Linked DNA regions of Cricetulus griseus. The protein of the gene in region 1 binds, or shares a complex with, the protein of each later gene. Links are inferred from orthologs where the notes say so. Each region holds a gene or a part of one and is shown on either strand. Other genes may lie near its edges.

Region 1 (14,563 bases):
AGGGGCAGGGAGCAGGGGCAGGGGGCGGGGAAGGGGCTCAGGGTGCCGCGCCCCGCGGGTCGGGGTCCGGAGCCGGCGGGGCTCCGGGGCTTACGCGCCCCGGTCCTCCTGCGGCGGGGCCGCCCCCCATCGCGGTGCTCCCGGCCCCAGTCCCGCTCCGACTCCCGGATCCGGCTCGGCTCGGCCCGTGCGCTCGGCGGTGGCAAATGGCGGCTCCTTCCGGCGCGGCGGCGGCGGAGACCCCCCCGGAGCGGCGGGCGGGCGGGCGGGAGGGGGGAGCCGGTGAGGGATGGAGGGAGGGGTGGGGCGGGGAGGGGGAGCGGAGGAGAAGGGGCCGCGGCTGCGCATCCCCGCCCTGCCCAGCACGAGCAGGTGTCCCCAGGGGCGGAGCGAGTGTGCGAGACAAGGAAGGAGGGAGGGGAGGAGAGGAGTGGCCAACGAAGGGGAGTGTGTACCCTGGGAGAAGAATAGGTGTGTGTGCGCGCGCGCGCGGGTGGGAGTGAGGATGGAAGGTGAGTCGTCCAAGGCTTGCAGGTGTAATGAGGCACAGAGGTCTATGCACAATGGGAGCGTGCAAAGGAAGAGCTCTGCAAGGGGTTGTGAACGCGTGCGGGAGTTGAGTGGGCAAGACGTGGACCCTAGAAACACACAAAAGATTGTAAAGGGTGCCTGCCGGGTGCGGGACTGTGAGATACATAGTGGTGTGCAGGAAAGGAATCAGACCGCAGAGAAACCAGCGATTGTTTCCAGTGTGTGAAGGTGGTGTGTGAGCAGAAAAAGGAATGCCAAGTGGATGGGCGTGTCTCTCTTGCTACCCCTTCTTGCCCTCAGCTCCACTACTCTGGAGTGAATGCCACACGTACACGCTTAAATCTTTGTTTCAAGTTGACCCCTAGAGCTACTACCAGCCTTTTTTCTCTTTTTTTTTTTTTTCAGCTTTATATTTACACCCTCCCTCTTAGCCTCTTTGTGAAGCTGAGGGAAAAGGATTCCCGGGGAGCCCACCGGGTCAAAGACACTGAGAAAAAAAATTAATTAGTAAAAGAGTAATTAACAGAGAAGGGATGAGAAAGTCGAACCAGAGACAGATTGCCAAATTGAGACTCCTCAATGGGAAGTGGTGGCGAAGGCAGTCGTGTTTCTGCAAAATGTCCAAGTGCTTTGGGTGGACGGATGAATGAAGGAGGGGGCGGGGAGTCTGTGAGTTAAGCAGACAAAGAAGATAGTTTTTCCTGTCAGGACAGCAAACTGCAGTGTGCTCCTATGAGAGGCACAGAAGCAGGTAATACCTGTACTGGGAAGACCAAACCAACCAAACAAACAAACAAACAAAAAAACAAAAATAAATAAATAAAGCCGGTCACTGATGGCCTCTAATCCCAGCCGTCAGGAGGCAGAGGCAGGAGATCTGGGTGAGTTCAAGGCCAGCCTGCTCCACAAAGGAAGTTCCAGTGCAGCCAGGGCTACACAGTGAGACCCTCCCTGTCTCAGGGGAAAAAAGCAAAACAAAACAAAAAACAAAACAGTGTTGCAAGTTTAATAAGCTCACAGACACTTAGCCTTTCAGAAAGCTAAAAACCCCAAACAGCCCTAGGAATGTAGCCAATAGAACACCCACTTCTCCAGCCCCTTAGCCAATTTAGGCCCTGATCTTTTTCTTACAGTCTCCTTGACAGCAAGAAGCAGCAGAGCAGCAGAAGAGGAAATCTGGCTAGGCAGTGGTGGTGCATGACTTTAATTCCAGCACTCAGGAGGCAGAGGCAGGTGGATCTCTGTGAGTTCGAGACCAGACTGGTCTATAAGAGCTAGTTCCAGGACAGTCTCCAAAGCCACAGAGAAAACCTGTCTTGAAAAAAAAAAAAAAAAAAAAAAGAGGAAATCAGCCCGATATGCCTTCCATTTTGTCCTTGATTATGATTTATGTTAATCTTGAGTTTATAGAGTTGACATTCGTGTGTGTGTGTGTGTGTGTGTGTGTGTGTGTGTGTGTGTGTGTGTACATATACATCCACTCCCCACACCCCTCTCAGACAAAGTTTGATTGTCCCAGCTAACATGGAACTTACTAAATAGATCAGGCTGGCCCTCCACCTGCCTCTGCCTCCCAATCCCCTCCTGGGATTAAAAACGTGTGCCACCATGCCCCACCACTGTTACATTCTCAACCAGAAAAGAAAGAAATTAGAATGGAGGACAAGGTGAACCAGGTCATAAAATGTTTTCAGGCTGGGTGTGGTGGCTCAGGTCTGGAATCCAAGCACTTTGATTCAAAGCAAAGTCTTTGAAGTCTTCAAACTAAGCCAGCCTGAGCTACATGGCAAGACACAGAGGAGGAGGACGAGGAGGAATAAGGAAAGAAATTGATTGTGATGCATGCCACTATCTTTAGTACTGGGGAGATGGAGCAGTAAGATCAAGCATTCAAACATTTGAAGCTACCCTAGCTACATGTCTATTTTTTTAAACTTTTTATTTTATGTGCATTGGTGTAAGGATGCCAGATCCCCTGGAACTGGAGTTACAGACAGGTATGAGCTGCCATGTGGGTGCTGGGAACAGAACCCGGGTCCTCTAGAAGAACAGCCAGTGCTCTTAACCACTGAGCCATCTCTCCAGCCACTTACATGTCTATTTCAAAGCCAACCTGAGCTATATGAGACCTTATCTCATCAAAACAAAATTACACACACAGAGCCAGAGCCAGAGTAGTTGTTCATGTCTGTAGAAACAGCATTTAGAAAGCTAAGGCCCTTCAACTATACTGTCTCAAATATGATTTCAGAGTTTAGTGTTTGGGAACATAGCACAGGAATTGAACGAAGAAAACACTGACTCCAATCCCTGGCTTCAAAAACCAATTTTATTTTTTTAAAAGACTTATCATGTACATAGTGTTTTGCCTGTGAGTATGTCTGCAGGCCAGAAGAGGGCACCAGATTTCATTACAGATACTTGTGAGCCACCATGTGGTTGCTGGGAATTGAACTCAGGATCTTTGGAAGCCAAGGCAGTATTAACCACTGAGCCCCACCAATCTTACTTTATTTTGAGACAGGATTTCTCTGGGTAGCCTTGGTTATCCTGGAACTAGCTCTGTAGACAAAGCAGGCCTCAAAGTCACAGAGATCATGATGCCTGCTTCTGCCTATCCCGTGCTGGGATTAAAGGTGTGAGCCATTGCCACCTGGCTAAAAAACAATTTTAAAACAGCTCTAGATTTTAGAGTTTCTCACAGATGGGTACATGGTCTTTTATTCCCCAAATGGTGGGAGACAACAAAGGAGTTGGAGCCCACAACACAACGAATGCCAAATCTACCTGTCTACCTAGATTTCTGTGGGCACAGACCACTTGGGAAATGCCCATAAGGGCAAGAGTAGCTCTAAGAAAGCTGCATTAGAAATAAAAAGGAATGTGACACCAATGATGAGTTGCATGTTTGCAGAGGGACACAAGACGTTCTCGGGCAACATGGTGGTCTGAAGTGGTGTTGGTGACCGCCCTTGTACACGCTCACCGTTTTGTCTGTTCATATGCACAATTACATACATATGTAACACAATACAGAATCTTAGTGTTAAGAGCCTTTTAAGATCAGGCACCCTGTTGGGCCGTAGTGGTGCACGCCTTTAATCTCAGAATCCCAGCACTTGGGAGACAGAGGCAGGCAGATCTGTGTAAGTTCGAGGTCAGCCTGGTCTACAGAGAGAAACCCTGTCTCGAAAAAAAACAAAACAACAGAGTTTCCAATAACTCCTTGCTGCTTTTAATATTCCCAGGGAGGTTTGCAAGTTGGAAGAGGGGAGGGCATTACGTTGCCACTCTTCCCATACAGTGACTGAGTATATTAATCCTGCTGTCCATCTTTTAGCCCTAGTTTCCTTCTTGGATAGGAATCGTACTCCCTGTTTCATAAGGGGCCACACTTGCCTACATTAGATACCCTCATCATTACTTCAGAGGGCGAATGGCTGAGACACCAAAACAAAAACATCACATACCAACTGGAAAGGAGCCCTTAGTAAAATTTTTGTTGAATGAATGAGTAAAACGAAGGCACAGTATACGAATGCTCCTTCCCCATGGCGCTGGAGTGAAAAATGTGACAGTCCCATCTCTGGTACCAGGATCTCCCACTAGCACCCGGACCTCCCCGCCCACGTCCAGACAAGGAGTGAGACGGAGAGATGCGCACAGGCTCGGCCTTGAGCCCAGAGTTGAGAGCCGGCTGGCCCGGTTGCCATGGCACCGCCTGGTGCTCCACCCTCCCTCGCCCCCACACACCCCCTCGGCAGTCAGGGACTGGCGGCGGGTCACGTGGTAGGCGGCGTAGCCACGCCTCTGCTTCCCAGCGCAGAGCTGAGGGGTCACGTGGGATAGCAACAGGTCACGTGCCCGAGCGAGTTTCGCCCCCCCCATCCCAGGTCATCCACTGCGCATGCATGGATGGATGGATGGATGGATGGAGACCACGTGTCCGCCGCGAACGTCCGGCGTTCGCCCCCCCCCCCCGGTTTCCGCGCGCCTCCCTGGCTGCTGGTCACATGGGGAGGGTGGGGGTGAGGGGGGCCTCTCTAGCTCGCGGCCCGTGTCTATGGTCTGGCCCGTAGCGTCCAGCTGCCCGGGACCGATCCCCGGTGTATGGCGCCGCAGGAACCGGCTCCCGGGCCCAGATAAAGGGCCACCTCCGCAGCTCTTGGCCGGGCGAGAGGTGAGTGCAGCCGCTTGCAGGGATGGGGCCCGGCGCCCCGCCACCACCCTATGGATCCCCTCGTTGTGGAAGGATGGCCCAAGGGCGGGAAGCGGGGCCTTTGTGGTCGCGGCCAGCGTGTGATTTTAGGGAATAAAGTGTGCAACCTTCGATGCCAACGCCGTGCATTGTGATGGTCTTCTTTGTGCCCGGTGCGATGTCCCGTTCTCCCCCCTCCTCCTCCCCGGGAGGAATGCATTCTTTTTCGCCCCTCCGGGACATCACGTGGCTGGAGGGCTCGGTGGGAGAGTCTTTTGTGTTACCTGAGGCGCGGCACTCTGGCAGCGTGGAGGGAGGGGATGGGCGGCTGTGTCGGTGCGGTCGTGGGCAGGAATTCCTTTGTTACTGCTGGGTCATCCCCCCTCCTAGCTGTGAAGGAAAGGAGGGCTTGGTTTTAGAAGCCTCTGTGATTGTAGGAGATCTCCCTGCTCCGAGAATGGCTACCTCCCGCTATGAACCGGTGGCTGAAATCGGTGTTGGTGCCTATGGGACGGTATACAAGGCCCGAGATCCCCACAGTGGCCACTTTGTGGCCCTCAAGAGTGTGCGAGTTCCCAACGGAGGGGGAGCTGGAGGGGGCCTTCCCATCAGCACTGTACGCGAGGTGGCCTTACTGAGGCGGTTGGAGGCCTTCGAGCACCCCAATGTTGTACGGTGAGGAGGTTGGATTGGGAGTGGGGAGGAAAGAATGGGATCTGTAAGCCAGGGGTGTGGTCGTCGGGAGTGGGACCCTAGGACTCCAGAGGCCACGTTGGAACAAAGGACATTGACCGGCTGGCGACTGTTTATTTTTGTCAGGCTAATGGATGTCTGTGCTACCTCCCGAACTGATCGAGACATCAAGGTCACTCTCGTGTTTGAGCATATAGATCAGGATCTGAGGACATACCTGGATAAAGCACCCCCACCAGGCTTGCCAGTTGAGACCATCAAGGTGAGCGGGCTGCTCGGTGAGAGGTGGATCCGGGTCTTTGTAGTAGGGACTCTTGGGGTTTTTGAGCGTGTTACATGGTGTCCGGGGCTTTCTCCTTCAAAACCAGGACCTGATGCGACAGTTTCTAAGCGGCCTGGATTTTCTTCATGCAAATTGCATTGTTCACCGAGACCTGAAACCGGAGAACATTCTGGTGACTAGTAATGGGACAGTCAAGCTGGCTGACTTTGGCCTGGCCAGAATCTACAGCTACCAGATGGCCCTCACACCTGTGGTGAGTGGAAAGATGGCAGCCCCAATGGGATTCGGCTTTAGGTAGTACTTGATTTCCCGTAGCAGCTGAGGTGTGTTGTGCTTGACGTTCTCAAAGCCCAGCAGCTATGAGCCATGAAAAGGACTCTCACTCGTTTCTCCTCTTCTGTTTAGGTTGTTACACTCTGGTACCGTGCTCCTGAAGTTCTTCTGCAGTCTACATACGCAACACCCGTGGACATGTGGAGCGTTGGCTGTATCTTTGCAGAGATGTTTCGTCGAAAGTACGGGGCTTGAAACTTTTGTTTTTTAAGACAGGGTAGCCCTGGCTGTCCTGTGACTCCCTCGGAGATCCGCCTGCCGCCACCACCTGGCTCAGGGTGTGGAACTCTTAGGTCCCTTCAGTTACACAAATCTTTTGATGTTACTTATGGTGTTAGAGGTTGAAATCAGAACTGCACATACACTGGGCAAATGCTCTATACCACTAAACTACACTCCCCGCCCCTGGGTCTTTTTACAAGACATACCCGTTCTTGACCATTTTTGTGCATATGGCACTGGACGCCCCAACCTAGGCTCTTGTATTTATCAGGCGCGTGCCCTGCCACCCAGCTATAGTCCCAACCTATCCTGTTTATGTTCACCAACTTGCCTAAAACCAGAAACGATGCAGGCAAATTTCCTGAAATGTCTAGGAATTAGGAACTTTGTGTTCCCTTATTCTCCGTCCTCTCTAATCTCAGCCACTTTGATTATCATTCCCTTATTTCTGAAATAATATATACTTGGAATATTTTTCTACCTTAGGCCTCTCTTCTGTGGAAACTCTGAAGCTGACCAGTTGGGCAAAATCTTTGAGTAAGTGTCCAATAAAGGGGAAAGAAATCCCCCCCCCCCTTTTTGTTTGTTTTTTTCGAGGCAGGGTTTCTCTGTGGCTTTGGAGGCTGTCCTGGAACTAGCTCTTGTAGACCAGGCTGGTCTACAAGATCTCAAACTCACAGAGATCCGCCTGCCTCTGCCTCCCAAGTGCTGGGATTAAAGGCATGAGTCACCACCGCCCGGCTAAAATTCCCCATTCTTAATTCAGTTTCTGCTCAATTCCAAATGGCAGTTGGCCCTGGAGATGGAAACTGGAAAAAGCCCCCCTGACCAGATTTGTGTTATCCCTACAGTCTCATTGGATTGCCCCCAGAAGATGACTGGCCTCGAGAGGTATCTCTTCCCCGAGGAGCCTTTTCCCCCAGAGGGCCGCGGCCTGTGCAGTCGGTGGTACCGGAGATGGAGGAATCTGGAGCACAGCTGCTGCTGGTAGTGGGCATGGGCCAGGGAGGTGGCTCTGTGATAAAGCTTTTAGGGCATAAGTGTAAGGACCTGAGTTTGAATCCCCAGAACTCGAGTAAAAGCTATGTGTCAGTGAGCTTCTATAGTGTCTCTTAATACCAAATGGGTGGTGGAGATAGAATTCCCTGGAAGCTCACAGGTCAGATAGTCTGGTTAATACAGCACTAACAAGAAACTCTCAAACAAGGCGGAAGGGAAGTACCGGCATTCCAGACTGTCCTAACCTGATTTCTATGTGAGCATTGCCTTGAACATGCAATGAACATAGAAGAAACAACACAGGGCCCAAGGCCATTGTGGAACCAAGTTCTAGTTAGTGGACAGGCTGTAGTTTTTCCTGTTGCTATGAGTGGCCAGCAGGGTAGGATGCAGGAAACACCTGCACAGCGTTTTGGGGTGGGCATCATCCCCCTCGGCTGGTTTCTGACCTTTGCCTCCCCTCATAGGAGATGCTGACTTTTAACCCACATAAGCGGATTTCTGCCTTCCGAGCCCTGCAGCACTCTTACCTACACAAGGAAGAGAGTGACCCAGAGTGAGAAGATTAGCTGCCTCTCCTCTCCTTGGGACACTTGAGCGACAGCGAGAACCTCAACTTGTGCCTTCCTCTGGGGCTGTGGAGACACCTCCAGTTTTTTACAGAGAATATTTTAACCCTTAAATGACATTCCCCCCTCCCTATGAGGCTTGTCCTCTTGCCCTCCCATCTCTCTCTCTCTCTACACTAAAGGGTGGGTGTCTCTGTCTTCTTCCCTCCCTGATTTATACTGGGATCTTTTTTATACAGCAAAAAAAAAAAAAAAAAAAAAAGACAAAGAAATATGGTCTTTTTTTCACCCCTTTAATGTTTTTCTGATTGGGTTTGCCTTTGGGAGATTTGAGAGCCCACTTGCAAGAGGTTTCTCTGCAACACCTGTAGGCTGTCACACAGGACTTAGGCAGTCCGGCTGTTTGGCTGACAAGATTGAAAAGGACCTTTCTATCCTTTCTCGTTTTTTTTGTTTGTTTTTGTTTTCAGTTAAAATGGCTTTAGTTTTACGTCTCTGCTTCACTCTGGGTCCTGCCTGGGTAAGACTGCTATGATAGAAACACTTGCCTATCATGTGTGAGGCCCTGGGCTGTAGCCCTGGCGCGCTCCCCACAAAAGTTGTTTCCCCTGGTATTTTCTGATTTGTCCTTGGAGCCAGGCTAGGGTGTCTAAGTGAGGGAAAACAGTTAGGAAAAGCTCCCAGCTCCCATCCATGCTTCTAGGAGTAATACTATATTCTCCCAGAAAGAGGTATTAAGTTTTTCTTTCCCTATATCTTGTTTCCATCAAAATTTGTAAAAACAAAAGTTTAACCACTTAATTAGGTTTAGTGGGTTAGGTTCTTTAAAACAAACAACATGTGTCGGGGGAGAACCACACCTAGGTTTTCAGGAGTTTAGGAGGGGAGAGCAAAAGCAAGGATCCAGAGACTTGCTGAGTGTGGTGACACACCTGTAACCCCACCACTGGGTCGCTGTGGCAGGGGGATCCAGAACTCAAGGTCATCCTTGGCTACATAGCAAGTTGGAGACCAGCCTAGGCTTCAAAGATCCTATCTGAAAGATAAGAAGTCTCATAGAAAGGCACTGGGGTTGGCTCGGGGGTCTTTTTGGTTCCGGAATCTCATTGCCAGCCAAACACCAAGGATCTGCAGGAGAGGGAGAGAGCAAAAGTTATTTTGGATCTTGGGGTTTAAGGCTTAGGGGTGTCTGTGTGAGGAAGGGGGAATCATTACCTCTGTGAAGCTAAAGAAGAGGCCAACACCACCTAGGATTTTCAGGGCTTCATCCGAATGTTTGAGGAACTTCTCCCCACACATCTGGCATGCAGAACTTCTGGTCTTGCACATCTGCCGACAAAAATATAATAAACAGAATGCAAAGCTGCTAGCCTTCCCCATCCAAATTGCCACAATGAATGTCCCCAGAAATAGCTGGTATTTGAACAGTTCCCAGACTGGAGTCCCACTTGGCTGAATCCTTACAGCCCAGTTCATGGCTCACGGCTCACACTGAGGTCACTTATTTGGGTATGGCCCTTACCCATTTCCTCTTAGATGCACTACCCATCCTTCAACTTACTGCACCACAGGAAGTATCATCTTGTAAGTACGGCATTGTAAGGTTGAACAAACCACAGCAGTCAAAACTTCTCTCCAATTCATGCCGGGTACTGTTGCTCATGACCCACCAGGACGCGTTGATGACATCCATCTAGAGCACACATACAGGCAGAGGAACATTAATGTCCCTACCCTCCACTCTCGGTTCACATGCTTCAATCGCCCTATTCTGGCAAATGCAATCAGCCTCCCACAGAAACAGGATGGCACATCATGGTCACAGACAGTGCCTAGTGTCTTTCTCAGGTTCTCTCTGACTACATCTTGGGGAGTTAACCATACATGTCAGAGGAAGCACACACCTCTGAAGTAGTGGACCCAAGGATGAAGGTGTGCAAGGATCACGTTAACAGATCTTCAAAGGTGGAGATAGCAAGCACGAAAAGCATCACCGCCTTACCTGCTTGTTTCTGTTGATAGCCAGACAAGAGCAAGAGATTGCAAACTGGAAGATGAAGACCAAGCCAAGGATGATCATGTACTGAGAAGTAGTTATGGCAAAAAAGAGATCTAGTTTCCATTTAAAATATCAGTGTGAAGGCCAGCCTGGTGTGAGGTCCAGGCTAGCCAGGGTTATGTAGCACAATCCCATTTTTTTGTGTGTTTTTAAAACCTCACCCAGTGTAATTTGTAACCGCAATGTGGCAGGCAAGGGGACAGAGTTCAAGGCCCTTCTCTGTTCCTAAAACTAGTCTTATCAAGTTGAGAAAAAAAAAAAAAAATCAACTTCTAAGCCAGGCATTGGTGTCTCATGTGTGCAGCCTGGTTTTGTGGAAACAGCTAGAGACAGCTGTGTCACCAGTGGTGTTTAGAGAAGAATCCTATCTTGTTTGTTGGGGCTGGAACACTAGCCTTCGAGTCATGGGGAATTAAAAAATAGCCACACTGCCGGCCTGTTGGTGCACGCCTTTAATCCCAGCACTCGGGAGGCAGAGGCAGGCGGATCTCTGTGAGTTCGAGGCCAGCCTGGTCTACAGAGTGAATTCCAGGACAGGCTCCAAAGCAATACAGAGAAACCCTGTCTCGAAAAAAACAAACAAAAAATCAACTTCTGTGAATTACACAGTAAGAACAGACGTGTCTGAGGTTCCCAAACCCTTTTAGGAAAAGCCTGCCCAGGGACCCCAATCACTCCAGGTCAGGATACAAAGAAGAGCAGCACTTGGTGGTGGTTAACAGCCCCCACGAGCCCAGCCACTGCAATGAGGAGAAGGAAGACTCCCACAGCAATGACTCCTCCAATGATGTGAATACTGGACACCAGACCCAGGCCCTTGCCCCAGGCAGCCACGCCAATGAGCAATAAGCCCACAAGCTGCAAGAAACAGAAAGTAGAATACATTTCAGCCTGATGTGGTGGCTCACACCTGTAATCCCTGCAAACCGCAGTACAGCAAAGTTCAGGCTAGCCTGTGCTAGCCACATAATGAGACCCTGTCATCGCCAAAGAACTCTACCATGCAGCACTGCCAAAGGCTATTACAAGGGGACGTGAACTAAGTACGGCAGGCAGCGGAGGTGTGCTTTCAGAGCTACTCATTCCTGGACGCGCTTCGCAAGTAACTGGGAATATCTGGGATAGTGGGGCAACGGCAGTAGCGTCTCAGGATACACTCCTTAGGGTTGTCCGGCGTCTCTATTTTGGGAAGAAACCGGAGCACAGGTGGAGACTGGGACTGTAGGCCCACAGTCCTCGATTCACCCCTCCCCACCACCACACAAGCCCCCTCATTACCGGAAGTCTCTCCTCTTCCACGGAAGTACCCAGGAATTCCCTCTTCGCCGGAAGTTTCTGGAAAGCTTCCCAGAACCCCCAGTAAACCCCTCTCCCCACCGGAAGTCCCCTAGAAATTCTCCCTATTCTGTCCGCCCCAGAGCTTTCCCCACTCCCAAAACCTCACCATATAAACCACGTTGAGAGCGCACAGCGCATTCTTGGAACAGGCAAATCCGCCGCAAACCATCTCCCCAGTTCTGGGGACCCAAATGGCCCCAAGGACTTGAGGGGAGGGTATCGGGGACTGCCTTGTAGGACTCCAACAGCTTCTATCGCTTTAAATCCAAGCCAGCCAAACCAATTCTCTGCGCCTGCACCGTCCCACCCCTGCCTCTGGATTGGCGAAACTCGTGGCTAATCCAGGACATCCAGAATTTCAGTGCCAATCAATCTACATTACGTCACCAGCCCGCCTCCTAGTCCTTCCCTCGGTTTTTTCATTGGACGAAACTTAAAAAAAAAAGAAGAAGAAGAAGACAGGGTTTCTAGACAGTTTCTTAGGGACCAGAGCCTAAACTTCAAAGCCTGTGCTCCCTGCGGCGACTCTAGGAGTCCGAGGAGAGACTTGGGGGACTCAGGTGAACAGAAAAGGAGGGGCTTGTAGAGGGGGGAGGAAGGGGCTCCGCCCTTCCAAGAATAACCCTTCCCGCTGGCTCCCCCATGTTTCAGGACGATGCCATCGTTTTGTTGGTCGTGCGTCATACTCTGGAACACTAAGAGGAACCAAATATTGAACTATGTAGCCCAGCTAGGGAGGATCCAAGTCAGACATAGCAACTGCCGGCAAATCCCCACGCATTTGTTTTTTTCTTTTTCTTTTTTTTTTTTTTTTCGAGACAGCTTTACTCTGTAGCTTTGGAACCTGTCCTGGAACTCGCTCTGTAGACCAGGCTGGCCTCGAACTCACAGAGATCCACCTGCTTCGGCCTCCCGAGTGCTGGGATTAAAAGCGTCCACCACCACTGCCTAGCATTTGTTAAATGTGTCTACTAGTACGCATGTTCTGTTCTGCATTCCTTCCTCTGCAGTGTGAACATGCCAGAAATTCGAGTGGAAACAGTGACTTGAGGCCGGTTCATTCCTGTTTGTCACAAAACCACAGGCGCAGACACTGGTGTACATCTTTACAATACATACGTACCTGATGCTGGGCTGGCTCAAAATAATACAAGGTGTGAGGGCAGGACTGGACTATGAATAAATGAAGACTATCCATGCTTTCTTTTTTAAATTTATTTATTTTTACTTTACGTGCATTGGCATTTTGCCTGCATGTCTGTGCAAGGGAGTTGGATCCCTTGGGAACTGGAGTTGCCGACAGTTGTGAGCTGTCACGTGGGTGCTGGAATTGAACCCCGGTCCTGTGGAAGAACAGACAGCACTCTTAACCCCTGAGCCATCTCTCCAGCCCCGACTCTTCATATTCTCACTCCAAGGGGGGGAATAATGGGTGGCTAGCCAACAATGCTATTACATAAGCATCTGGACATAGTGCCCTTTGAATAGGAGTGAGAAATGGTGCAACCCTTCCCTTCCTCCTGGACAAAGAAGTGACCTTGGTGGGAACAAATGAAAAAAAAAAAAAAAAACACCTCCCCATCAACTCCACACGGTGATTGGAGTCTATGTATGCTCACATCATGTGACCTGCCTACAGTCTAGTCTTGTGCTGGAGTCAAAGTAAACCAGTTTTTTACTTTATGACTTAGTATCTGTATGGGCCAGGCACTTATTAAGGCCTCTGCACCTACTTCTTCATCCATAAAATGGGGATAGATAATAATGCATCCACCTCTAATGATACTTCCCTAACAACTTCTGTTCTGTTGTGAGCACCAAATGAGCGAGGATCTATAAAATGTCTGAGTTAATACCCAGTACCTAGCAACACTCAGTTAACAACTGTTTAGTCCAGGGGGCTGGAGAGATGGCTCAGAGGTTAAGAACACTGACTGCTCTCCCAGAGGTCCTCCTGAGTTCAATTCCCAGCAACCACATGGTGGCTCACAACCACCTATAATAAGATCTGGTGTCCTCTTCTGGCCTGCAGGTATACATGCAGGCCAAACATTGTATACATAATAAATAAAATCTTAAACAAAAGAAACAACTGTTTAGCCCATTTTTATGGAGTCCAATAAATAATCCAAACTCAACCCCTTGATCTCTGAATATAAAGACATTCACACACTTACTTTTCCTAAACCATCCTCAAGAAAATATGCATGATAGTCTAGAGAGTTGGCTCCAAGGTTAAGAGCACTGAGTTCAGTTCCCAGAACCCACATGGTGGCTCACAACCATCCATAGCTCCAGTTCCAGGGGACCCAATACTTTCTTCTTACCTATGGAGGCACCAGGCACGCACAAGTCACACATACATATGTTCAGGCAAAACACTCATACACAGAAAATAAATAAATTTTTGAATGAAATAAATACTGGCTGGGGGGCTGGAGAGATGGCTCAGTGGTTAAGAGCACTGACTGTTCTTCCAGAGGTCCTGAGTTCAATTACCAGCAACCACATGGTGGCTCACAATCACCTTGAATGAGATCTGGTGCCCTCTGTTGGCACGCAGGCAGAAGACATAATAAATAAATAAAATCTTAAATAAATAAATAAATAAATAAATACTGGCTGGTCCATAATGGTGCACACCTTTATGTCCCAGTACTCAGGAGGCTTTACATAGTCAGGCGTTGGTGGTGTACACCTTTAATCCCAGCACTCGGGAGGCAGAGGCAGGCGGATCTCTGTGATTTTGAAGTCAGCCTGGTCTACAGAGCGAGTTCCAGGACAGGCTCCAAAGCCACAGAGAAACCCTGTCTCGGAAAAAAAAAATTAAAAGAAGCTATACAAAAGAAAATAATTTGCTATCTCCATATAGGTTCAATCTGTCTTTGAAACAAAATAATTAGGTCAAAGCTAGGGAGATAGGCTGGGGATGAAGAAACCTAGGAGACAGGCTCAGAATAAAGTACTCGCTGTACAAGTGTGAAGGCCAGAATTTGTATCCCAGGGTGTCCACAAAGGCCAGGCAGGCATGGCTGCTGCCAGTAACTCTGGCACTCTGGAGGCGGAGACAAGGGGTCTTCAGAGCAAACTGGCTAGGTTAGCCTGTCAGAAAGTTCTAGACTTGCTGGGAGACCCTGCCTCAATGAATATAGTGGAGAGCAATCAAGGAAGACACACAACCTCAACCTTGGATCAACCCACACAAAGGCACATATGTCGATGCACACCCAAACGCACACGCTGTGATGAGTAGTTTTACCTGTGTTGACAGGGTTTAGAATCATCTGAGAAGAGAGGCTCAGGGAAAGATTTTTGTCTACATGGGGTTGGATTGTGGG
Region 2 (14,580 bases), about 130 Mb from region 1:
AGACTGGCCTTGAACCTACAGCAATCCTTCTGCCTCAGACTCAGGAGTGCTAGGATTATAGATGTGGACCACCATGGTGAGTTTAGAAACTACTGTCTTTGCATGTTCTCTTTGCCCCAGATGTGTGCAAGATACTTTTAGCCCTTTGGTCTTCAGAAAACCCCTCTAGGGTAAGGACCTTTGTTATTACCCAACTGGAGGAAAAGAGAAGCAGACAGAAGAGGACAGTCTTTCCTCAGAGTCATGGGTGTGCACCCAGAGTTTGAACTGAGTGCAGCCTTTGTCCACCTTCCTGTTTGGGGTGGTGTCCCTTCATCTTAGCCTATACCTGGTTCTCTCCTTGTCAGTTCAGTGATCTGAAGTAACTGTGAGATGATTGGCCTCGCCTGTCACCTGGTTGCCCCTTCTGGGTCTCAAATGGAGACATTCCTATGATAAAGAGGTGAGGGAGTGGGAGGAGGAAGGAGGCTTGGTGTCCCTCTTCCTTGGGGCTTTGCCTCTGGCCTGTGACTTTTCATTCCAGCTCTCCACTAATTTGCCATTTCATTGAGTAACTTTTTGTAATTGGATGCACCTGGCCTGAAGCGCTTCCATTTACTTCCCCTGGTCATCTGCCTTCTTATCTGTTCTTTCTTTGAGACAAGCGTCTCCGTCTCCCATAGCCCAGGGTAGGTTTGTACTTTGGATCTTCCTGCTTCTGCCTCCTGAGTGCTGAGATTACCAGTGTGAACCAGTATACCTGAGTGCTGAGATTACCAGTGTGTGCAGTATACCTGAGTGCTGAGATTACCAGCGTGTGCAGTACACCTGAGTGCCGAGATTACCGAGTGCGCCACTGCACCTGGGTTTGCTCCATCATTTCTTCCTTTTACCTAGTGTTGGGAATTGAATTTAGGGCTTCAATCATATAAATCAAACACTCTACCCACTGAGTACATCCCCAGTCCTTGCTTTGTTGCTTGGTCTTCTTAGCTCTACCTTCGAAGAGCAGTGATGGTGAAGCACACCGGTGCACCTCTCAGGAGTTCTCGGAGGAGCAATGTGCTCCTTCAGCAGCCGTCCTTCATGTAGCTGGCTAGCTCCTTAGCCCTGAAGACCCCAGACAGAGGGGCTCTTGAAGACAAAGCCACTTCTAGAACTCAGCTGTCTCTGGGCGCCCTTCCTTTCTCTGTTAAGAGACCAACAAGGGATAAGTCAATATACACTCATGGGACAGCACAAGAGACAAGTGGATGAGGTGGTCAAGAGCTGGGGTGGGACAACCTCCACTGCTAAGCCTCCCCCATTTCCTAACTCAAGCGTGTTTAACTTTTTCTTTCCCCTTATTCTCTTCTCCAAATTCCTAAGCATGTTTGTCCTGGTGCTCTGGGATTCCCCCCAACCCCCACTTTTTTTTTTTTTTCTCTGATTTCTCCCATTCCATTTCTACAGATGCTTACAGATCTCCTCTGTTGCTGGTCCTGACTAAAAAAGCATGACTTTCTCTCTTCTTCAATCTATCTCCCTCTTCCTGGCAGCTACCTTCCTTGTTTTTGTTTTCAAACTCTAATACTTTAAAGTAAATGGAACCCGGGGGTTAGAGATGTAGCTCAGTGGTAGAGCATACCTGCCTAGCATGCACCAACTGCCCGGCTTTGAACCCCAGCATCTCTCTCTCCTGTTCTCCCTCCTGACCCCCTCCCCTGCTGCAAGGGCTTGAGCTCAGGAGCTAGACTGGACTGCAGCCTGCCTCCATCACTCGATAGCTGTGTGACCTCTCAATGGTTACTTAGTCACTCAATCTGAGTATTAGCACCCCAGCCCCCATTAAAAGGGGCAAAATAGCCAGGAGGTGGTGGTGAACCCCTTTAATCCCCTCATTCAGAAGGCAGAGGCAGGTGGATCTCGTAGTTCAGGGCCAGCCTTGTCAACAGAGTGAGTTCCAGGACAGCCAAGGCTACAGAGAGAACCCCCCCCCCCAAAGGGAATGGGTAAAATAATATACTTCCCGTAAGGTTGTTGTGTAGACGAGATGATTTATTACATCTCAGGTATGTTTGGTTCTGGAATATAGTACAATTACATGAAGACCTGTTTCTGTTGTTGGTGTTACAGGGAGGTGGTGTATCCCTCTAACATGCAGCCATACAGGACTTTGTCTTTGTCCTTAAGGACAGGAAGTTTGGTGGTGCATGCCTGTAATCCCAGGATTTGAATGGAGCAGGCAGCAGGATTGTTGCAAGATGGAGGCTCTTCATAGGCCAGTGCTACATAGCAGGGCCTGTCAAAACAAAACAAAACAAAACAAAACAAAACAAAAAACTAACAGGTGCATGCAATTGGAAGGTAATGGCAGATCAAATCCAGCCTCGATTATAGAGTAAATTCAAAGCCAGCCTGGGTAACTAAGACCTTGTTTCAGAAAGTGCCCGCTTATTTATTAATAAATAAATTATTAAAATAAATAATTTATTTATTTTATGTGCATTGGTGTTTTGCTGTATGCATGTCTGTGTGAGGCTGTCAGATCTTGGAGTTACAGACAGTTGTGAGCTGCCATGTGGGTGCTGGAAATTGAACCCAGGTCCTCTGGAAGAGCAGCCAGTGCCCTTAACTGCTGAGCCATCATCCTCCAGCCCCCCGCTTCCCAGTTTTTAAAGTGTACAGTTTGCAATAAAGCATGGTGGTACACACTTGGAAAACAGACGAGGAGTGGGAAAGTTCAAGGTGGATGTGGGGCTGTATGGTCAGACAAGGAAACCACTCAACAAAGAAACCCCTGGAGAGGTGACCTTCTGTGAGCTAATCCCATTATGCCTCATTTGTCCAGGAGAGGATGCAGTGGTGGATACTGAACCCTTGCTTGGTGCCCAGCAGGCAGATGACCTCATGCATATCCATTGTCTTCTCTGTGCTGAAGCTCACTTGGGCTGAGGTGACAGCAGTCCCTCAGGGGTCAGTCCCTGTCTTCTTTCTTTCCCTCCTTTTCTCTTTCTCCTTTCCTTCCTTCTTTTCTTCTATTTTTGTTTTTGAGATAGTCTCACTGTGTAGCTCTGGCTGGCCTAGAACTCTTTACTTAGACCGGGATGGCTTTGAACTCACAGAAATCTACCTGCCTCTCTCTGTCTCCAAAGTGCTGGCATTAAAGGTGTGTGCCACCATACTACACCCCAGCCTTTCTTCTTTCTTTCTTTCTTCCTTCTCCTCCTCCTCCTCCTCTTCCTCCTCCATCTCCTCCATCTCCTTCATCTTCTTCATCTTCCAGGCTCTGGCTGGCCTGGAATTGTCCACAGGCCTCCTCCCTCCTCCCGAGTGTTTGATCTCAGGCATGTGCCATCATGTCCAACTCTGCAATATGATGTTTTTTTGTTTTTAGTTTTGTTCTAGTCCAGGCTGGTCTGGAAATTTACTGTAGTTTTCTCAACCTTTGAAGTTCTAGTATTATTTCCATAAGCAGCCACTATATTATTATTATTTGGTTTGGTTGTTTTTGTTACTGAGATAGGATCTTATATAGCCCTGGCTGGCACTGAACTCATTAGGTAGCCAAAAATAACCTGGGACTTTATTTATTTATTTATTTATTTATTTTTAGTTTTTCCAGACAGGGTTTCTCTGTGTAGCTCTGGCTCTCTTGGAACTCATAGACCAGGCTGGCCTCAAACTCAGAGATCTGCCTGCTTCTGTCTCCTGAGTGCTGGGATTAAAGTTGTTTTCCATCACTGATTTGTGACCTTGAATTTTTGATCCTCCTGTTTCCACCTCCCAAGTGCTGGTCTTACAGGTGTAGGACAACATTCCAGGTTCTACAGTGCTGGTTATTGAACCCTGAGCTTTGAGCATGCTAAACAGGCACTCTACCAACTGGATATATATCCTCAGCTTCTCTCTCTCTCTCTCTCTCTCTCTCTCTCTCTCTCTCTCTCTCTCTCTCTCTCTTTTCTCTCCCTCTCTGTCTGTCTGTCTCTCTCTTGCCCCCCCCCCCTCCCCTGCCCCATGGGTTGGGGAACTCATTCTGTAGACCAGGCTGGCCTGGAACTCAGAGATCTGCCTGCCTCTGTCTCTTTAGTGCTGGGATTAAAGGCGTGCACCATCACCGTGGGGCTTTTAATATGCTGATTTCGACAAACACCACCTATACTTAAGTTGTTCCACGAATCTGGAAACAGTGCAGTGTCCCGTTCAGCGGACCCTGAGAAACTGCATTTGTTCATTTGCTTTTTCATTTTTATAATTTGTGTGTGTGCGTGCGCGTGCATACCGGGTGGTGTGTGGTGTGGTGGTATGTTACAGCGTTAGTGTGGAAGTCAGAGGACACCTTATGGGAGTTGATTCTTTTCTTCCACCGTGTGGGTCACAGGGATCACACTCAGGTTGTCAGCCTTGGTGACATGACCCTTTCTTTACCTTCCTGCTCAGCTGCCAGATGGTGCTGCAGCAAGTCTGTGGAATTCATTTAAGTAGACAAAATTCTGGAGCCGGGTTTCCCTGGACTGACAGTGAGGTCTCTTCAACTACCACTGTGCTTCAGTTTGGTGGTCTGCAAAATAAAGACCTGGAATGCACCTTGAGGTAGGAGCGACCCAGATATGCAGCTATTAACATTCCCTGGAGCAGTGAAGTAGGGTGCAAACGTGAATGAATGGATAACTTTGGGCGAGTAATTCTTTCCTGGGTGGCTAGAGTCAAGACGGCCCATTGATGGGGAAGAGGGCACCCTCCCAGAAAGTTCTCTCCACCGTCTTGGTCAGGAGGGCCCCGAGGGCCCGGAAGCCTGCAGAAGCCGGCGCCCCGCGGACCAATGGGCTGCGGGGAAGGAGGGGATTACGCCCGCCAGCCCTTTCCGTCTGCGGCCCCGCCCCCTTGGAACGTTGTGACGTCGGAGCATTCCACGGTTGCTACATCGTCGCGAGGGGCGGGGCGCCTGTCAGGGAAGCGGTGCGCGCGGGTGGCGGGCGGGCTGGGGCTTCTCCGTACAGTGCCAGCGCCAGCGCCAGACCCGCCCGCACCCCGCGCTCTCCCTCGTGCGCGTCGCGTCTCCAAGGACTCGCCAGCCCGCACTCCTGCTCTCGCCCGTGAGCCGCCTCAGGATGGAGCTGCTGTGTTGCGAGGGCACCCGGCACGCGCCCCGGGCCGGGCCCGACCCGAGGCTGCTGGGGGACCAGCGTGTCCTGCAGAGCTTGCTCCGCCTGGAGGAGCGCTACGTGCCGCGAGCCTCCTACTTCCAGTGCGTGCAAAAGGAGATCAAGCCGCACATGCGGAAGATGCTGGCGTACTGGATGCTGGAGGTAAGGCCCGGACCGGTCCCCTCTCCTCACCCTACCCCCACCTCCGGCTCTGGGCAAATCCAAGTTGCCCTGTCGGGGCATCATGAATCGGACCACAGTCTTCAAGATGCTTTGGCGGCCCCGACTTGAGGGGCCTGGCCTTTTCACACAGGCATCCACCCTAGCCAGCTGCCTGCGTTCTGTCCCCTTCCTTTCCCCAATCCCGATCGGCTTCTTCTGAGACTGCCAGTCACTTGGCACTGTAACTAAACTTCACTTCAGGTCGGGAAAGCGGGCTAAGGGCCACTATTTCCCCTCTGGCTTCTCTCGGTGTCTCCTGCTTCCTTCCTCGCCTGTAGTTCTCCGAGAGCGTGCTTGGAAAAGTCTGGGGCTCGACCGACCGCCTTAGCCCTAGAACTGGTTCCTGTGTCTGTCGCGGGGTTCTGGCGGGGGAAGCTGGTGGGGGTGGCGCGCGCTCGGTTCCGGTCCACAGGGAAATGAAAAGTGCGGGAGACCGCGGCAGGAGTTCCCTCCCTTCCCCTTGGGAGTGTGTGTGCAGTGGGTGGTGGTAATGAGGGTAAGGTCCCAATTCTCTCTAGGCGACCCTTCCGTCCCCCTTCCGCTCGCCGTGGGGGAGGGGAGTCTGGAATCCCTCGTGAGCAAGGGCTTCTCTCCTTTACACCCCCACCACTCAGGGGTGGGGAGGAGGCCAGGCAAAGGAAGTGGGGGGGTCACCTTGGGGAGGGCGCATCCTCCTCGGTTATTGATTCTTGTCACTGTAAGTTTATCCCGTCTCTGTTTATTTTTTGCTCCACATTCCACTCTCCCTCCACCCCCCATGCTGCTGCGTTTCACTTGGTCCTTCCCTAGCAATGACTCGTGCGCCATCCCTCAGGTGTGTGAGGAGCAGCGCTGCGAGGAGGATGTCTTCCCTCTGGCCATGAACTACCTGGATCGCTACCTGTCTTGCGTCCCCACCCGAAAGGCGCAATTGCAGCTCCTCGGTACTGTTTGCCTGTTGCTGGCCTCTAAGCTGCGCGAAACCACGCCCCTGACTATTGAGAAGCTTTGCATCTATACGGACCAAGCTGTGGCTCCTTGGCAGTTGCGGGTGCGTGTGGAATCCCCCTCTGTGGCGCCCCCCCCCCCGCTCTCAAATACTGTCGCCCTATGTACTAGAAAAGAGAACTCCAAGCTCAGTCCCTCACTCACCAACCCTCCCCTCGCCCTAGGCCAGTATTTTGGAAAAGAACTGGGGTGGGACAAAGGCCATGTAGTGTGGTAGTTGTGCTTTAGTTGCAGGCTTAAAACCAAATGAACCCCCTTCCTCTGACCATAGTGGGGTTACCCCAGATAGCAACCAGTCCAGTTGCTGGTCTATACACCAGTACTTTGCCTCTGGGTTTACACAGCCACCATGAGTTATTTATTGGCAGCAGCAGGGCATGTCTGCACACCCCCACCGGAGTGGAATGTGCTTCACGTGGGGGAGGGGGCTGCCTTGCATGAGTCTTTATCCCCGTGTGGACTTTGTGATGGAAAAGCCTCCCAGAGCTGATTAAAGCCAGGCCCTGATTGCTGGAAGGAAGTGCTGAGGTGTTTTCATCCCTTTCCCTTCTATTCCCAAAGACAGAGCCCCTTCCCTACCCACCCTTCCTTGTCTTCTGAAAAAACGAGAGCAGCTGCCCTGGGCCGGTGGAAGGGTTTCTCCCTTTGCCTCTTAGCCAAAGGCCGAAGAGACAGGGAGCCGAGCTGCAGCTGCTTCGATGTGATAATGATGCTGGTCCCCTTGCCCTCCCACTCAGACCAAGGGCTTTCATAACCCTGTGGGGAGCTGCTGTCACTCCTGTGGTTTGGGAAGTGGCTCCTTGGGGTCTCTTGCTGGGAACATGGGCTGGGCTCCTCCAGGCGGGGCAAAAATCGGTTGGGTTTTGCCCTGCCCCGAGGAGTCTAGGGAGGAGGTGGAGGAACTGCTTGAATCTGGAATAGAGCTTGAACATCATCTCCCACAGGGTCTGGGGGAGAGGGTGGGTGAGCTGGCACCTCCCTCCACCTTATTCTGTGGCTAGCCAAGCCTTCCCTGACCCTGAAAGGAGTCTCTGGGCCCCATCTCCTAGGGAGGAGGGCAGCAGGCAGGCTAATGTGATTGGCTGGCTGGGAAGCTAGGGTACTGGGGCCCCTGACTGCCTTGAGTCGGGGAACTGGATTCCTCTCCCTGTCAAGCAGCTGATGGGAGGCCTGAGTTGGGAATCAGGGAGGCCCCACAGCTCTTTGTGATGAATCTGGTAGTTTCCACAGCCAGGGAGCAAGATGTTTTCGAGGGATTGAGGCAGGGAGGTAGGAGACTTCCTCTTTGTGCAGAGATTAGGGTGGTCTACATTAGTGTGTGTGTGAGGGGAGGTTTTCAGAATAGGCAAGCCTTCTCCTAGAGGCCTGCGCTGAGTGGCCTGCGGTCAGAGCTGTAAGGGACCTCTAAGAACTCCAGCAGTCTAAACCCTTGCATCGCAGGGCCCGAGAAAGGAGGGGAAATTCCAACTGTATGGCACTGACCAGAACGCCTTAAAGCCAGGGATGAGCAGTATGCAGCCAACCATGGTGTTCGGGAGGTGGGGCTGGGATTCTCATGTTGTCTGGATATCGGGGAGGGTGGCCACCTTCCCTCAGTGAGGACCCCACACAGTCTGGTTGCCTCTTGCTTCCTTGGAGGCTGGATGCTGTTGGTTACCAGGGCAAGCCTCTGTGCCTTACTTCTGGCTCTGGCCCAGGCTTTTTCTGTAGGCTCTTCTAAGTACCCTGGGGCTGACACCTAGGTCGTGGGACAGAGAGAGGGACAGCTGTTGCTGGGGTCCTGGAAGAGGTTGGGTGGGGCTGACATTTGTACCTCATTGAGGAGTCAAACCCATGAGTTCCTTCCTGAGATAAAACAATGAAGAAATCCTCATGTGTGCAACTCGGAAATGCAACTCAGGCCAGGACTTGGAAACCCAGACAAATGAGCTGGGGTTGGGGCTCCTAGACTACTACTATGACCTCTTATTGGTTATGTAGGCTTGGGCAGATGCCTCAGGGGCTATCTGGATTCATCCTGTTTGGCTTGGCCTCCGTGTCTTGAGACAGGACCCACCCCTGGTGTCCCACAAAAGGGGTGTGGGTGGGGTTGGGTAATCTCCCCTTTGAGGAACCTCAGGAGTGCCTCATGTTCATTCTGTCTCTTTAAGAGACCAGGCTGAGATGCAGGGCCAGGGAGGGACAGGCTAATGACTGTGGCTCCCCTTCTGAAGTCCTTGCAGTTTAGTCTTTCTGCTTCAACTGATGCTGGCCTCACATTCATGGGAAGACTAAGAGGGATGTCATGCCATTCTAGTACCCAGTAATGATGAATAGATGCTCAAGAAAATGCCCTGAATTCATCATTCCAAGGTGCTAACTCCTGCAGCCAGAAGTAGAACTGTAAATCTTCTGCCATATCCTGACCTGTTTTGCCAGCCACTGACTCCATGCTCATCCCCTTTCTCCAGGAATGGGAGGTGCTGGTCCTGGGGAAGCTCAAGTGGGACCTGGCTGCTGTGATTGCACACGATTTCCTGGCTCTGATTCTGCACCGCCTTTCTCTGCCCAGTGACCGACAGTCCTTGGTCAAAAAGCATGCCCAGACCTTTTTGGCCCTCTGTGCTACAGGTAAGAACCTTGGACACGGGGTTTTCCAGTTTGGGAAAAACCATGATTTGAAGGCTAAATAGTAATCAGGAGATTGTTTCCATACTCAGAACTATTCATATAGGATCTTTTTTTTTTTTTTAAGATTTTATTTATTATGTATACAACATTCTGCTTCCATGTATATCTGCACACCAGAAGAGGGCACCAGGTCTCATAACGGATGGTTTTGAGCCACCATGTGGTTGCTGGGAATTGAACTCAGGACCTCTGGAAGAGCAGTCAGTGCTCTTAACCTCTGAGCCCCTCATATAGGATCTTGGTGATCCTGGGATGGAGGTATGAGGCACTGACTAGCCTGAGGCCCCCACCCTAGGGGTTTGGGTATTCTCTAGTTCCTGACCAGGTCCAGCCTGGGTGGAAGGAAATTTTGCTGTTCTCAGATCTCAGAAGGTTGGGTGGGGTATAGTGGTTCAGTGATTTTGTGCATGCCTCAGTCAGATGCCAGCACCATGGACACACACACCAAACACTCCCATTGTCCCTGAGTCACCCCACCCACCACTGGGGGTTCCCAGTATGCTGCATCCATGCAACCTGGCATGCTGTAACAGGAAACAGAGGTATAAGATGACTCTTCTCATGGCTCCCTTTCTTTTACAAGATTACACCTTTGCAATGTACCCTCCATCCATGATCGCTACAGGCAGCATTGGGGCTGCAGTTCAAGGCCTAGGAGCCAGCTCTATGTCTGCAGATGAGCTTACAGAGTTGCTGGCAGGAATCACAGGCACGGAAGTGGTAAGTCTCAGGCCCCATTCACAAAAAGCAGTGTTATCCCTCAAATCCCCAGAAGAGGGCAGCATCCACCCCCAACTCCAGTTGTACAATTTTGCCTGCTTCTGTGGCCTTTTATCTCCTGCCTCTGGAGAGGATCAGGTGGGATGAAGGACACACATGTAGCTGCCCCTCTCTTGCCAGTGGTATGCTGCACCAAGGGGTGGGAGACTTGGTGTCAGATGCAGGGCTGCTCTCACACCCTTGCCACATCCTCTTGCCAGTTTCTGAGAACTGAGACCCAATTCCTGGGCTGGGTTGTGGCCTAACCTCCCCAGACTTCCCGATGTGCAGGGGGGTGGCCTTTCCCTTGCACCTGCCTGTTGTTACTGACCTTGTTGTTCTTCCTAGGACTGCCTGCGAGCCTGTCAGGAGCAGATCGAAGCTGCCCTCCGGGAGAGCCTCAGGGAAGCTGCCCAGACTGCCCCCAGCCCAGTGCCCAAAGCCCCCCGGGGCTCTAGCAGCCAGGGGCCCAGTCAGACCAGCACTCCCACAGATGTCACAGCCATCCACCTGTAGCTTGGGACAGGCCCCCTCAGGTGGCCACCAAGCAGAGGAGGGGCCACTGCCACCCCTTCCCTTCCTCTAGGAACAATCCATGCTATATCGGAAGCCCGATGGGGGGTCCTCCTTCCCCTCACAAAGCCCAAGGGGCCAGGTCCTGCCTATCCCCACAGTTGTGCACTAAGGTGCTGGTTGGCCATGAGGGCTCTGCATGGCCAGTCAGCTCCTCCTCCTTCCCACCTGACCAGCTCAGCTGTTCTGGGCCATGCTGGTCAGAGAAATCCAAACAGGTAAAGTCCATGCACCAGCATTCCTTGTGAGTCCCTCCTCTCTGGGGCTCTAATTTTCTCAATTGCCAAAACGCCCCAGTTCCTTCCAAAGGTGTTGCCCCTCCTAGGGTCAGTGCATTTGGATTCGGGTCCTTCAAGCATCCTGATAACCGTGCATGAGGTACCAAATAGATGGCTGCTGTGTAATCCATGCTCCCAGCTGCTCTTGGAGGGAACAGCCTAGGCCTTGGTCAGAGGGGCAAGAACCTACCAATTCTTGCTTTGCTTCCTGCTTAGCTTCTGTGATTGAGGGCTCTTTGAGGGGTGCTGATGGTCATTTTAATTTATTGCTTTGAATACAACTGTAAGAGGGTACAGTGAGGCCTGTACCCCACAAGCGGTGGTAACCCTGGTGGTTGCTGTTTCCCTCCCCTCTGCTACCGCTTTGTGGTCCAGGAGCTGCTACAGCCTGGGATGGGGCCGTGCCTTCCTCTCCTGAGGCCCTGTACCTCGTCTTCCAGCAGAGGGTTTGAGTAAGGATGGATGCTGTGGAGGACAGAGCCTATCTGGAGAGGTCCAAGCCCTATTGACACAGGTCTTTCCTTAGGCCACAAGGTTTGGGCTGGTGGCCCATTTCTATCATGCTGCCTTAATAAAGATTCCGGAATAAAACTTGCTTTGGCTCTTGAAGTACCTGGGGCTGTGTGTAGAAGCAGGGAGGCACAAGTCAGCTGTCTCAGGTAGGGAACATTTCTTCTTAAAGGCAATGTGGCCCACTTTACCGATGCACTTCTACAAGTTATGGTTTAAGGAGTGATCACCATGCCCCAGAGGGCTCATGGGAAAACAGGTCTGGACAGTTTTATGTAAAACAAGAATTTTGCTGTACTCTGGCATGGTGGCCTATTCCTGTAATCTTTGGTGGCACTCACAGGGCAGAGGAAGTTGTTTTAGTCTACCCTGTGCTACATGGCAAAATCTTGCTTCAAAACCCACACGGGGACCGCACTAGTGGCCCAGTAGCTGAGAGTATGGGCTACTCCTGAGAGCTATGATTTGACCACAACCATCAGTAACTCTAGTCTCAGGATCTGATGCCATGCAGGCACAATGCTCATGTACATTAAAAAACAAGAGATGGATGGGGTAGGAATGTGTCTGGAAATACTTTCTCTGGTTCCCATCTGCAGTACTGCAGAGAGGCAAACTGGTAGAGACGTGGCCATTTGGCTTGGCTGAGCGAGGTGTACTTTTCTCTGTCATTTACCTCCTGTTTCCAAGATGAACTAAAAGTGTAAGCAAATGCGAATGCCTCAACAGATTGAAACTGTTTGCAGATACATGAACTGGATTGTAACAGGCGTACTTTTTCAAAAGCAAAAGTGATGTAGCAGAATGACTTGGGAGTTGTCAGCTGTGATGCACATGGCTGGGACATGGATGTGCCCCCCTACCCCGAGATAGGGTTAGTTAGACCTGTATAGTCTGTATACTTAGTCCTGGTTGGTCTCAAACTTAGAGATCCATGCCTGGCTGCAACTAAAATTTCATACACATTTTAAGCCATTAGAAAAAGATTGTTCATCAGCTATACAAATAGGCACTTGACCTTGGTTTGTTAACCAGTCTAAAACTCTTGTTCAGAATGCAAGGAAGAAACCTACTGGACTACTGAGTTTGCTGGTCTCCCAGAAAGAGGGATGCTCCTGCAGCAGTCTCCACTGAGAGCAATATGGCGACTACGATCTTTCCAGCAGAACATCAGTAGAAGCTGGTGTTCCAGCAAAATAGCCCATGAACATGTCATTGGTAGGGAGTGTGTGTGCACCGCACACACACCCACACACTTCCTCTTTGTGGAGAGGAAGGGGAGTCTAGACAGACAGTTGTGAGGAACAGGGTAGGTGAAAGAACCATGAACGACTCTCACCTCTAGCCACAGGGGAGGCAGGAACCTCCAGGGACTGACTGGACCAAAACACAGAGCTTCAATAAATAACTGACTCTGTTTTATCCACACCCCAGTGAACTGACACAGTAACTGGAGAGAGCAGCCCTCATACCAAGTACCGGCTGGGTTGAGGGAGTGCTGACATCAGGTAACTCCAGTTAGCTTCCAGAAGTGAACAGGGACCAAAGCCTAGAATGGCAGAGAAAGCCAACCAGATCAATCCTCCTGCCCAGGACTGGAGCCACACACAGATGCCGTCGTAAGCCTACAGTGCCTTAACCTAGGTCTTTAACTAGATCGTTGGTCACCAACTGGGCTCCTGGTGTCCTCCTATCCTCCCTGGACCAAGACAGGTGAGCGCTGTCATTCCATGGTGACAGGAACATCTTCTACATCTCTGGGGACTGCACTCTGGAGCTCACGTCTGATTTCAGGAGACAACTGTGGGTGGGGCTGCAGTCGAAGCAGTTCCAGGAGGGCCTCCTTCTGGTCCGTGGCCAAGTCGGCCTTGTAGCGTTGTGCCAATGTCAGGAGGCACTGGTGCCAGAGCACAGGCAGCTGGCGCTTCTCCGTCCGGAAGCCCAGAAAATGGAAGACCAGGGCGTCTAGCACCCGGTATGGCAACGCATACTTCTTATCTAACAGCAGGCGCAGGAAAATGCTGTTAGCGCCACTGTATTCCATCTCGGCAATCTTCAGCATGGCCGCACTAGGAGGGAAGCTGGAGTTAAGGACTAGTGGAGAGATTCTGGACAAAGTGTCTCCCCAGACTCACCCTAACCTAGAGCATTCCCAAGGTGTCCCCGCATCTCCTCATTAGTACACTCCTGGGATTGATTCTCTTTACCGCCTGTCTACATCCATCTCACACTTCTGCCTCTGGCCGGGATAGCAAACAATCCCTGCATTCAACTCGATAGGGTGTGTCTAAATGTCTCACCACTCCACCATTTATCACACCTTTTTCTAGGTATCCATTCATTCATGCCGTCATTCAACAACTATTTACTGAACACCTACTGTGTGCCAGGTCTTTGGATCCTGCCCTCGAAGGCTTCTATTCTGTTGGAGCAAATCATATACCCGCTGGCTTAAATAGCCACAGAATCTAGGTAATCATAGCTCATTCTCCCTTCTTGCCCTCCTGCCAAAGTTCTGGCCTCTCTACTACATGACTCTCCACCGACCTCACCAACACTACCTGGAGTGCAACACAGGGATGGAGCACTTGGTGATGATGCTGCCCACGATGATGGCTTCTCGGAGGGTACATGTGCCAGACTCGCACAATGGGATCAGGATTCCTAGGCAGAGTCATATACAGGGACTTTTAGTACCCAGCAAGCCCAACATCTAAGGACCAACAGTGGAGATAGCCAGTTGCCAAGCAGAGTACTGACCCTTCCTTTCTCTCTTACTTCTGGGTTTTTACCTTTAAACCAGGCTCCAGGTTTGAACAGGGCTTTCTTGAGTGCCATGTAGAGGTGAAAGTTGAGTTGTTTGTACTCTGCGATGCCATCCCATACTCGGGGATGCAGAACAAGGTTGTAGAAGTGCTGAGCCATCGTTCTTTCAGATTAGAGGTAAAAATCCTAGCAAGGTGGGAGTTTGCAAGTCACAAGAGTCTGGCCCTGGCCTTTTAAGTATCACCATGCATGAGAGAGGTTTTAGAGTAAGATATGGGGACATCACTTCAGAGAGGGGTATGTGAAGTGGTATGTGAAAGGTTCAGGCATTATGCTGGCCTGCCTCTGTCACCTGGCAGAATCCACTCAGGCAGTACCCTGGTCAGCCCAGGGTTCCATGGGAACTAAGTCTGCACTCATGGTATAGAGGAACCCTTTAAAAGACAGATCCTGCCCACTTACACTCTCTTCTCTTCTCTTATGCTCTCTCTGCCTCTCTATGGCAACCGGCCATGGCGGTCATTCAGGAACATTAACCCTGTTCCTCTTCTTTCTTAGTCTCTACTCTGCTGGGCTTATAATAACCTGGGTAATACATCTTAGTCTCATGTCTCATCTTGTGCCTCTTCTTCATTTCTAATTTAAGCAAAAGAATAACAGTATGCACACCACACCCAGGTCCGCTTAAAGAGGAGCTACTTTGCCTGCAA

Evidence for each region.
Region 2: the proteins of Cdk4 (region 1) and Ccnd3 are in contact, whole or in part, in a crystal structure (PDB 7SJ3), measured with the Homo sapiens proteins. The link is inferred for Cricetulus griseus from reciprocal best matches to the Homo sapiens genes CDK4 and CCND3. Residues at the interface, in NP_000066.1 of Homo sapiens: Gly46, Gly47, Gly48, Leu49, Ile51, Thr53, Val54, Arg55, Val57, Ala58, Leu59, Arg61, Arg62, Glu64, Ala65, Phe66, Val77, Ala79, Val89, Asp129, His132, Ala133, Asn134, Cys135, Arg163, Ile164, Tyr165, Ser166, Tyr167, Gln168; in NP_001751.1 of Homo sapiens: His11, Pro13, Arg14, Ala15, Gly16, Pro17, Asp18, Arg20, Leu21, Arg26, Val27, Ser30, Leu31, Arg33, Leu34, Arg37, Tyr38, Glu74, Lys112, Leu113, Arg114, Glu115, Thr116, Pro118, Ile121, Glu122, Pro134, Arg138, Glu141, Val142.

What each region holds. Positions count from the first base shown.
Region 1 is NW_023276806.1:130,633,998-130,648,560, reverse strand, and holds Cdk4 (cyclin-dependent kinase 4), read left to right. Parts: upstream 1-4,553; 5' UTR 4,554-4,711; intron 4,712-5,166; 5' UTR 5,167-5,186; coding exon 5,187-5,404; intron 5,405-5,548; coding exon 5,549-5,684; intron 5,685-5,790; coding exon 5,791-5,958; intron 5,959-6,110; coding exon 6,111-6,220; intron 6,221-6,746; coding exon 6,747-6,797; intron 6,798-7,111; coding exon 7,112-7,247; intron 7,248-7,726; coding exon 7,727-7,819; 3' UTR 7,820-8,090; downstream 8,091-14,563. Other genes in the region: Tspan31 (tetraspanin-31), read right to left, coding at 8,882-8,956, 9,044-9,157, 9,390-9,521, 9,831-9,911, 10,578-10,745, 11,332-11,394.
Region 2 is NW_023276806.1:256,937,350-256,951,929, forward strand, and holds Ccnd3 (G1/S-specific cyclin-D3), read left to right. Parts: upstream 1-4,881; 5' UTR 4,882-5,069; coding exon 5,070-5,267; intron 5,268-6,141; coding exon 6,142-6,357; intron 6,358-8,764; coding exon 8,765-8,924; intron 8,925-9,567; coding exon 9,568-9,704; intron 9,705-10,091; coding exon 10,092-10,259; 3' UTR 10,260-11,189; downstream 11,190-14,580. UniProt on the Homo sapiens protein: Regulatory component of the cyclin D3-CDK4 (DC) complex that phosphorylates and inhibits members of the retinoblastoma (RB) protein family including RB1 and regulates the cell-cycle during G(1)/S transition.